Linked DNA regions of Daphnia pulex. The protein of the gene in region 1 interacts with the protein of each later gene in a pairwise test. Links are inferred from orthologs where the notes say so. Each region holds a gene or a part of one and is shown on either strand. Other genes may lie near its edges. The genes, in order: SUMO-conjugating enzyme UBC9-B, double-stranded RNA-specific editase 1-like and uncharacterized protein LOC124207367.

Region 1 (2,726 bases):
CTTCCTGAGCCCTTCAGGAGTCATTTGTTATTCAGTGCAATGGTAAAAATAAAGACAGACTCACAACAATATTACATAGCACACTACGTTTCCAAGCAAGAAATTAGTTTAAAAACTGGCACATGTAATAATCTTTGAACTATACAAAATAGTGATTCAAGCACTATTGTTTTGTGAAATCACCAATACATCATATCTAATGAGTATTTAACAGGATATTTTCCGCTTTGAGATACCCAAGTATGTTTCATTCCCTTCCACTTTGGCACTAACACATTCAACCCTTCTATGCGAGAAGTACCTAGCTGAAACAACCATAATAGGGAATAACAGATCTTCATTTAATAAATTTAGAGTTTGTGACCTAATATGACAAATTAACTGATGTTTTCATACCTTTCTGAACATTCTATATCAATTTTGTAGTTTCCCCATCCACAAAGTTAAACTGAACTGAGGCTTTAGGATTAGAGATTATATCATTCTTAATTCATTCGAGACATGGTTGTTTGCACCTTTTTTCGTTTTGTCTTCGTGTGATACCTTTGTGGTTTGTCACTAGTTGATTCACGTGTTCGAATATTCTGGAAGCATTACGTAAACGACGCTTGGCTTGTCTCGAATGTTGAACGATCAAAGCTACATGAGATGGAAGATATCAATGATTTTTTTTAACACTTGATTTTTCAATTTGGAATTTAAACAAAATACAAGAACTTAAGATGCATGCCTGTGTGACTCACTGCTCTGTTGTTTTTTGAACCATCTGGGCGCCATCTTTCATAGGCAGTGGCAGCATAGCCAGTTCATTTTTAATTTTAGTTGATGAAAACTAAAACTAAAAATGCTTATGCATGCTACAGCCAAAATGGTTTGATTTCATTGAAATCCATATTTTACATGCAAATGTTTCATCATTTATTCGTTTAAATCCCCAAATTAAATTTTAAATTGATTTGTAATTATTCGAATTACCTTAAGGCAACCCTGGCAATAATTGTACGAAACTACACAGCTAAATTATTTGGCAGCCGTTGAAAAAAGGTAACTATTATTTATTTAAGAGCTGTTGCATCTTGCTTTCTTCAGTCATATTCACACTTTCTTATTACATCACACTGAAATTTTTATTCTCTAGTGACCAATAATGTCCGGTATTGCTATTGCTCGACTTTCTGAGGAACGTAAAGGCTGGAGGAAAGACCATCCCTTTGTAAGTTGCTGGTTTGCCAAACGATAGTTGTTGGGTTGTGTGTGTTTGATTTGTGTATCTTTGCGTTGCCTTTAGGGTTTTGTTGCCAGGCCCACAAAGAATCCTGATGGAACCCTCAATTTGATGAACTGGGAATGTGCTATTCCAGGCAAGAAATCGGTAATGAGTTTTACACTTAAAGATCTTACTTCACATTGGTGTCAGATATACTTACCAAATTCACTGTTGTTTGAAGTAACAATATTAAGTGTAACTTGTGCATACATTTACAGACTCCCTGGGAAAATGGATTGTACAAAATCCGTATGATTTTTAAAGATGACTACCCCTCTTCTCCTCCAAAATGCAAATTTGAGCCCCCACTTTTCCATCCAAACGTCTATCCATCAGGTTGAATCAAATGGCTATTTGAGTGTTTTGTTTTAGCTAACCTTTTGGCATTTAATATCCAGGCACAGTTTGTCTATCATTGTTGGATGAAGAAAAGGACTGGAGACCTGCAATTACCATCAAACAGATTTTGCTTGGAATTCAAGATCTCCTAAATGACCCCAATATTAAGGATCCGGCTCAGGCAGAAGCTTATACTATCTACTGGTAATGATTTTTACACCAGTAGACAACTTGAAAGTTTGGATTGTAATATTTCATTTGATTATTTCTCCAGTCAAAATCGAATGGAGTACGAAAAACGTGTTAGAGCACAAGCCAAGGCTATGGCTGCCACCACTGATTTGCTGTCTTAATTTCCCAAGTAAATCCAGCTGTCAAGGAATAAGTTAACTTCTTTTTCTTTTCCACGTGCTCTATTTGTTTTTTAAAAATTCTTATTGTCTTCATTTCAATACTTACTTATCGTCCAGAAAACATACTCCGATCTGAAATAAAACGCTAAGTAAGGTGTAACACTTGTTGACCTTTTTTTTTTTCAATTACGTCACTTGACTATTTTATTTGGTTGTGACCTACTTTGTTGATATGCGTTTTATCTGGCGAATATCTGATTATGAAGACCAAACTTCTTTTAACTACTAGAATTCATCAAAGGCTCTCTTACCTGATTAAAATTTGAACTAAATGGGTTATCGATGTACAAAGTGCAAAACAAGGTATGTAAAACAACAACCGATTTATCACAATATTTTCAGCAGCGACAATATTACAGATACACTAAAATCAAAGAAAACATTCCGACTTGAAATCGATTAAAAATCTTAACCGAGAAGAATCGGAGATCGGGTATGGCATTTTCAAATGGCGAAATATACGAATCACGAAACAAGTAAAGCAAATTTGTCATCATGTAAAAAGACTGTGGAGGATGCAAGAATAAGGAGGCGCAATTTCACACAACGCTTTCTCTGTCATCACGGTGGAGGTCGGAAAAGTCCTCTCCCGTCTGCGGATTCCGACTAAAAGCATCACCTCCGTGACCCACGCCGAACAGATTGACTATCCACCGCTTGACGTTGGGCACGCTCTTGCTAACAGTGGGGGCGATGACCGTGTCTTT
Region 2 (3,755 bases), on another chromosome or scaffold:
CGGCATTCGTCGGAGCCGAAATGAGGCCGAGGTACTGTATTGTCTATTGGCAAGCGGCAGCAACTTGGACGTCAAATCCTAGTCTATAATGGGCGTGAGTCTTCATTTTTGTTTCACCGCTGCGTTCGTTTGCTTTGCGCCATATAACCTTGGAAAGAGAATGCGGTGGCCGCGCTGCGGTCGACCGTTTTTTTCTTTTTTTGGTTTCCACACGCTCAATCGACACATTTTTACGCGCAAAGTTATCATGACTGTAACAACATTTTATCGGTTCAAAGTAATTATCTTAATTATGGAATTGCCAACGGTTTACAGTCCCCTGATGGTGAAACGGCTACTCATTCTTTAATGCTCGTCATTAATAATTATCGTCAAGGAAGTAACGTAGGTAAATTGCAGACGCACTTGTAACTTTTTTTTATCTTTTTTTTTCGGGAGGGTAAATTGCGATTGCCATCATTTCGACGCTATCACGTGATCAGCTGAGCTGAGAACGTGGACCGCTGTTTTGGGTGCAACAGTGCTGGTGCAAGAGTCCCGGCGTTTTTTAATAGAAATAAACGTACATACATAATAGTAGTGGCTTATATATATTCAACAACCTAAATTTTCATATCGGAAGTCCCAGCCAACTTGAAAGTGATGGATCGTAATCACCGTTGCGTGATGAACTCAATGCCGAACGGTGCGAACATGCGAAACGGCCAACAACAACAACAACAATAGGAAATAGTAGACTCGACTAGACAACACGCAAAATTTACTATACAGGCTAATTACTTTTGTTGTTTGGATCGAGAGAATTTGTGTTTGCGACTGATTGGGATAAAAATCGAGAATAAAATATTGTAGTTGGCATCCGGGAGTCGGAGCGGAAGTTGTTGGCGATAAAATCCGGGCAGGAGAAAAGAGGTGTCGGACTCGTGAGATCGACTGTCGGCCTTCGTTTAAGAGTCGCTGCTCAATCCTGTTGCGTCATGTACAGACAACAACTTTTAGGAGAAGAAAAGGAACTTTTTTTCCGTGTGCAGGATGAACCCAGGCTGATTATTAGCTGGCGCGTAGCACATCCGCTAGAACAACAACCAAAAAGAACTAAATTCTAAAAAATAAGAAGAAGCGATTAGAACAAATCAGAGAGATATAATTTTTTTAAAAAAAGATAGAAAAGTAAATCAATACCACGAGACCTTTCGACTCTTGTAGCTGCTGAAGGCGCCGCTGGGCTTGGCCACAGAGAATTGCCCGAGGAAGAAAGCCAATCTGTCTCACGCTCGACTCATCATAAACTTGATCCCAGCACAGATGTCTACTTGCCCCGTTGGCGTAATCACGCAACATTGATATGTCTTTGGCATTATAAATGACACACAATCCGATGGGGGCCAGAATATACTCCGTGTGTAATAAGGAACGATCGGAAATGTCGGCAAAGTTCAACCACCGAAAAACTTTGTCAGTTATCTAATAGATGGCTACAAAAATCAATACATTTTGATTGATTTCTATCGATCGGCGATTTAATCATTCTCCAAAGTATGCAACACAAAAGAAAGAAAAACCCGTTATTCCCGCGAATCAAGCAGATGGCGAATCGATAAGCGATGCAAATCGTGGGATTTTGAATTGTCTTTTATTGACTTGGAAAAGCTTTGCGGACTATTCCGCAGCACGTATAGTCTCATCGTCCCATCACTGGTGTGTGTATACGTAAACACTTCTTTTTGTTTCGTTGTTCTCCGATTTCTTTACCTTTTAACAAAATTATAAGTCCTCCTTTTGATCTGCTTTTTAATATTGATAGAATTCATTTCCAAGTCGTATTGTCAAGATTTTGAATGGAAGTAGTAACGACTGGAGTATCGAGACCGTGGAGCAGCACAAAGATGACTAGTAAACACGATGATGGCCCACCAAAGAAGAAACGAAAGAAGAATACTGAACCTGTGGCCGTTGGCCAAAAAAATCCCGTAATGGTTTTGAATGAAATCAAACCGAATATCGTCTACGACATTGCAGCATCTGGACCACCTCATGCCAGAATTTATGCTGCATCTGTCACTTTAAATGGCAAGACCTACAGTGCCGAAGACACAACCAAGAAGAAAGCCAAGGCGAAAGTCGCACAAATGATCCTCCTCTGCTCGGTTCAGCTGAAAGATCCCAGTGTCAAAGCCCCTCTGATGGAAGAAATTATGGGTGAAGCTGAAGACTTTAGCAAAGATCTCTCAGAGGTTGTTTGCAGCTCTGAAGACTTTTATTCTTTTGAAACAGCTGTCACTGATAAAGTGAAAGCATTGCCCATGGCATCTGTGAGCAACGCTGAACAAGCCAAGAACAATCCTGTTTTCTACCTCAACCGTCTGAAACCTGGGATCAAAATTGAAATAGTCAAGGAGGAAGGAAGTCCTCATTTGCCAATTTACACTGCACGAGGTAATTGATTTGAAATTTGTTTCTGTTTTTTTGTGGTAATCATTTTTCGTTTTTATTATTCAAGTTGTCATTGGGGATCAGCCCTTTGAGGGAACTGGTTCAAGTAAGAAACAAGCCAAGAACGAGGCTGCACAAGCCGCCCTACAGAAGGCGTTTGGCTTGGAGCGCACCAACCCACCCAAACCACCCTCAGCGGCCACATCATCTGAAAAACCCACCGAGGCTGAATTTGGAGATTTTATAGCAAGGTAAACCTTACGCCCCATTTGATAAGGAACAGTTGGAATTTGATCAATGTATTTATTTTTTTTTCTAGACAAATTGAGAGCACGTACCTCGAAATGATGAAAAACGAGCAGCAAAGTTTATCACGCTACAAAGTTTTAGCTGGAGTTGTCATGACCCAAGGGCCGACATCAGATGGGGCCACGGTTATATGCGTCACTACCGGGAGCAAGTGGTAATTTTCATTTTTTCAGCAATTTTCAATTTTTCAATTTTCAATTCAATTTTTAATTTTCAGCATCAACGGTGGCCAACTGAGTATGGAGGGAGAAGCCCTAAACGATTGCCACGCTGAGGTGTTGGCCCGAAGAGGTTTAGTCAGTTACCTCTACGACCAGTTGAACATATTCAATTCCAATCCGTCCGATTCGATTTTTGAGTCTCCAAGCGGCAGTCAAAACTTGAAACTGAAGAGCGATGTTCTGTTTCACTTATACGTGAGCTCCGCACCTTGTGGAGACGCTCGTATTTTCACACTTAACGAGTCACTTGCCTCACCTCTCGAAGATCTCCATCCCAATCGACAAGGAAGAGGAGCTCTTCGAACCAAAATCGAATCAGGAGAAGGTTTGACTAATTTAAATATTATTTTTTATTTCATGCAAAAATGATAAATGTTAATGGTCGATAGGTACTGTGCCGGTGAATGAGTGTGCCATTCAGACGTGGGACGGCATCCTTCAGGGCGAGCGACTATTGACCATGTCTTGCTCTGATAAACTCGCCCGATGGAATGTTGTGGGTATTCAAGGATCTTTACTCTCCAACCTAATTGACCCGATCTACTTCCATACAATTGTGGTAGGCAGCCTGTTTCACCAGGTTCATTTACGAAGGGCCCTCATTGGCAGGATTGAACATCTACAGGTATTATTATTATTTGGTTTCGCGAATTAATGTCACAGTTTATAAATTAATTGTATCAAATCAGGGTCTTCCATCGCCGTTCATCTTTTCCCGGCCTGTTTTGTCGACGATTACCACCCCACCGGACCGCTTACCAGCCAAATCTCCCAAGAACAGCATCATTTGGA
Region 3 (3,755 bases), about 6.1 Mb from region 1:
AATTCGGAATCTATACAATAGCATCCGAACATCCGGCTCTATATAGGTAAAATGTCCATTTCAATTTGTATTTGAAAACACAAATGATTGGTGATTAAAAAAAAGAAAAGGCCAAAATATGCCAATAAATCTTTGATGATTATGGCTACAGATATTGCAAATAAATGAAGCAGAAGTCCTGTGTTGATGACCAAAAAAAAACACAACAAAATACACTCATGGGAAGAATGGAAGCGAAACGATTCCGCAAGACAAAAAAGAAAAAAGAGAGACGGCCCTTGGCACACACACACATAATAGCGGGACGGGACTACTAGTTGGCATTTGGGTCCGCGCGCGTTAGATTTCCCGTTTGTTGCGGGAGAACCAATGGGACTGTGTATTTCTCGGCTTGTTCACAGTCGAACAAGTCGGATTGTGCATCCAATGGGAGACGGAATAAGGCGGGATTAGTCGAAAGGAGTTGGGCCGGCGCAGAGCCGCAGAGGGTTCGGCCTCTTTTCTTCATATATCCCCCCCCCTTTTTTTTTATCCACCCACCCACCAACACCACCCACCTCCTTCTCTGTTCGCCCGTTTGTCTTTCGGACACATGAAAAGGACTCACGAATTCCATTTCCACTTCACGTGCACAATTATCACGTCCCTTTTGAGACAAGAAAAAGAAGAAAAGAAAAAAGAAAAATGAAAAATGAAAAATGAAAAAAGAAGATGGACGGAAAAGATTGGGCGTCCGGGTGGGTGTCGGAGAGGCGACCCTCTTCGTGCTCCGTGTCACAACGATGATGTACACCGGCGAGCATACAGATCGAATGGGAGAAAAAGATGGAAGATGAGAGAGGAAAGAAGAAAGAAGAAAGAAAAGAAAAAAGAAGAAGAAATCTAAGCACAAAAGAGAAGGGAGGAAATCGTGGGAAACGGAGAAAAGGCCGCGCGCGCAGTCGGTGCCACTGTAGGAGGTCCAGCTCCTACCGAAGAAGGTGGGCGTGACCGGCAGACGGTTAAGGAGGCCCTCCGATTGGCGCTCGATCGGGGCAGTCCCCCAGCCGGCGAATGGGACGTCCCCTACGGGTGACGGACCCCGCCCCGTCGACTGCTCCTGGGCCAACCTTTTTTCCGTGTGTTTTTTCCCCCCTCTTTGCCAAGGACGGCCAAGGAGACGGATCTGCCTCTCTTTTGCCCCGTTTCGATTCCTGGCCATTTCCTGCGAGTGCCCGCCCTTTCTCGCTTTTGACTCCGGCACTCGGATCGGCTGTGTGGCGCTGCTGCCGGCCCCTTAGCTTTTCTCTCTCTCTCTTCAGTTCCAGTTCCAGTTGTTAGAACATACCTCCGTTTCGGCCGGCCCTCTTCCATCTGCGATTGCCTCTTGTGCACTTCTAGTGGCCAGTCGGACTCTGGACTCAGTCCGAAGCTGTTCGTTCTACTACGTGACTCTTACTCGTTTTTCTCTTTTTGTTTCTGCCATTTCTTCTTTTGACATCAGACAATTGAACCCTCGGCTAGTATTCGTCCATCACCACTGTGACGTGCCACTTCTTGCCAAGTGGAGTGCCCGACAGCTGTGACACTGAAATCAAAAGAAATCGAAAACAACTTTTTGACACAAAAGTGACCAACTTATTCCAAAAAGGGCCGGCTCGTTGATTCACCTGTTAGCCTAGACTGGTTTTTTGTTTTCCGTCACGTGCGTCACATTTCTGATTACATTTTTTAAAATAAGTTATTGCGTTTAGTGCTGTGTTGAGTGATTCGCCCGTGTGACAAGTTCCAGTCTGACAAAGGAAGAAAATAATAAGGCCGTTGGTTAATTTGAAATTTTGTCGTTTGTGAGTGACCCGAGTGGAAGGGAAGTCAGTCAGAGTCGACTGCTGACTTATTTGTTTTTATTGGCTGGACCATCGGTCGAAAAAAAGACGGGCCGGAAAGAATTATTTCACTAGTGGTTGGGGGCGAGAAATGATAACGGCCTCATCGTCGGTCCAGTCGCAAGTGTCGACGGGCAACAAGTTACGCAACTCGCCTCTGTCGTTCAGCATGTCTCTATCGCCCGGCGCAGCCAGTTCTGCTAGTCCGGCTTCATCAGTGGCCGATTCGGCGGCGTCAGGAGTTTCAGGAGCCGGAGCCGGAAGGTCCGCAACGCCCAGTCCCGACCGGAACAACTTGTCGTTGGATCACCGTCGCAGTCCGGTCGGCCGGTCGTCGCATCACTTGGTGGGCGCTGCCGGACACCCGCACGACCTCTCCTCCTACAATCCCATCCGCCGGCCCAGCTCGGCCAACAGTCCGCCCGTCCGCGACAGCCCGCCCAGCCGAGGGGAGGCCAACCTCAACAGCCACTCGGCCGCCCTGCAGGCCTCGCTGTCCGGCTCGCTTCACGGGCCCGGCATGTCGTCGTCCATGTCGTTCGCCGCTCTGCACGCGGCCGCAGCGGCCGCCGCCGCCAACCAGAGCGCCCTGCTCCACGGCAAAGCCGGCCTGCTGGGCGGCATGGGCCCTGGCGTGCCCGTTTCGCTGGCCGGACTGACGGGCATCCCCGGCATGCCGGACGGCTACCACCCGGGCCTCTATCTGGGCCACCCGGCAGCAGCCGCAGCGGCCGCAGCGGCCGCCGCCGCCGCCAACATGCAGAACGCCGAGCGTTCGCTGTACGGGCACGGCCACCACCACGGCGGCCACTCTCACGGGATGCACTCGGGCGGCGGTGGTGGCGGGCACGGCCAGAACAGCCACCACCATCACCACAGCAGCGATCGCTCGCCGTACAGCAGCCACAGTCCGCCGCCCATTTCCAGCACGGACCCGACGGCCAACGAGTGCAAGTTGGTGGACTACCGCAACCAGAAGGTGGCGGCCTTCGTCATCCACGGCGAGACGATGCTGTGCCTGCCGCAGGCCTTTGAGCTCTTCCTCAAGCACCTGGTCGGCGGCCTGCACACCGTCTACACCAAACTCAAGCGGCTGGACATTGTGCCGCTCGTCTGCAACGTCGAGCAGGTCCGCATCCTGCGCGGGCTCGGCGCCATCCAGCCGGGCGTCAACCGCTGCAAGTTGCTCTCCTGCAAGGACTTTGACATCCTCTACAGGGACTGCACCACTGCCAGGTAATCAATCCAAAACTTGACTTACTGATTATTATTTCTTATTTGATATATTTAGTTCCAGCTCTATATAGTCGATTTAAGTCCGGCTAATCATAAATTGAGCGCATAGGCTGACACTTGATTCACGTTCAGAAACGTCTAGCATTTGATTTATGTGTCAGCGAATAATATTAAAAAATAAGAATAAGTTATATAGATAAGAGAGATGATGATGAGATTGTGACCGGTGCGTTGTGCTGCTGGCCTGGCCCATCATCATCTGCTGTGCGTCTCAGCACGAAGTCGTCCCAGAAACCCTTTTCTTTTTTTCGTTTTCTTTTCTTTGATTTCTTTCTCTCCTGTGCTGGACTTTATATTCTTTCTTCTCTTTTCGGGGACGGCCCTTGTTATTAGAGAGACTGCGCGGCATCTCTTTTGGCTGCCCAGCAGTGATCAGATAAGCGCTGAGCCGCGTCCAATATACAGTACATCAACGGACTCTGATTCCGTCCCGATAAATCAAACATCTGCTAATGTGCTCCGGGCGCAATATCATCAGGTCCTTTTTTTTCTCACTTTTTGATTTTTCAAAATTCGAGTCGCCGGCCGAGATAATCTCCCGGCCGCTGGCCCACGATGAGGGGACGACATTTTGCCCCTTTACTATTAGAGATG

The links.
Region 2: the proteins of SUMO-conjugating enzyme UBC9-B (region 1) and double-stranded RNA-specific editase 1-like interact in a two-hybrid assay, tested with the Homo sapiens proteins (2 studies listed by BioGRID and IntAct). The link is inferred for Daphnia pulex from reciprocal best matches to the Homo sapiens genes UBE2I and ADARB1.
Region 3: the proteins of SUMO-conjugating enzyme UBC9-B (region 1) and uncharacterized protein LOC124207367 interact in a two-hybrid assay, tested with the Homo sapiens proteins (2 studies listed by BioGRID and IntAct). The link is inferred for Daphnia pulex from reciprocal best matches to the Homo sapiens genes UBE2I and DACH1.

The regions. Positions count from the first base shown.
Region 1 is NC_060018.1:633,004-635,729, forward strand, and holds SUMO-conjugating enzyme UBC9-B, read left to right. Parts: upstream 1-891; 5' UTR 892-1,044; exon of another isoform or gene 1,045-1,138; 5' UTR 1,139-1,147; coding exon 1,148-1,213; intron 1,214-1,288; coding exon 1,289-1,372; intron 1,373-1,485; coding exon 1,486-1,603; intron 1,604-1,665; coding exon 1,666-1,810; intron 1,811-1,880; coding exon 1,881-1,959; 3' UTR 1,960-2,119; downstream 2,120-2,726. Other genes in the region: receptor-type guanylate cyclase Gyc76C-like, read right to left, coding at 2,559-2,726. UniProt on the Homo sapiens protein: Accepts the ubiquitin-like proteins SUMO1, SUMO2, SUMO3, SUMO4 and SUMO1P1/SUMO5 from the UBLE1A-UBLE1B E1 complex and catalyzes their covalent attachment to other proteins with the help of an E3 ligase such as RANBP2, CBX4 and ZNF451.
Region 2 is NC_060021.1:11,145,731-11,149,485, reverse strand, and holds the start of double-stranded RNA-specific editase 1-like, read left to right. Parts: upstream 1-1,546; 5' UTR 1,547-1,698; exon of another isoform or gene 1,699-1,710; intron 1,711-1,804; 5' UTR 1,805-1,838; coding exon 1,839-2,436; intron 2,437-2,500; coding exon 2,501-2,684; intron 2,685-2,752; coding exon 2,753-2,896; intron 2,897-2,959; coding exon 2,960-3,288; intron 3,289-3,352; coding exon 3,353-3,588; intron 3,589-3,652; coding exon 3,653-3,755. UniProt on the Homo sapiens protein: Catalyzes the hydrolytic deamination of adenosine to inosine in double-stranded RNA (dsRNA) referred to as A-to-I RNA editing.
Region 3 is NC_060018.1:6,753,961-6,757,715, reverse strand, and holds the start of uncharacterized protein LOC124207367, read left to right. Parts: upstream 1-1,298; 5' UTR 1,299-1,956; coding exon 1,957-3,101; intron 3,102-3,755. UniProt on the Homo sapiens protein: Transcription factor that is involved in regulation of organogenesis. Seems to be a regulator of SIX1, SIX6 and probably SIX5.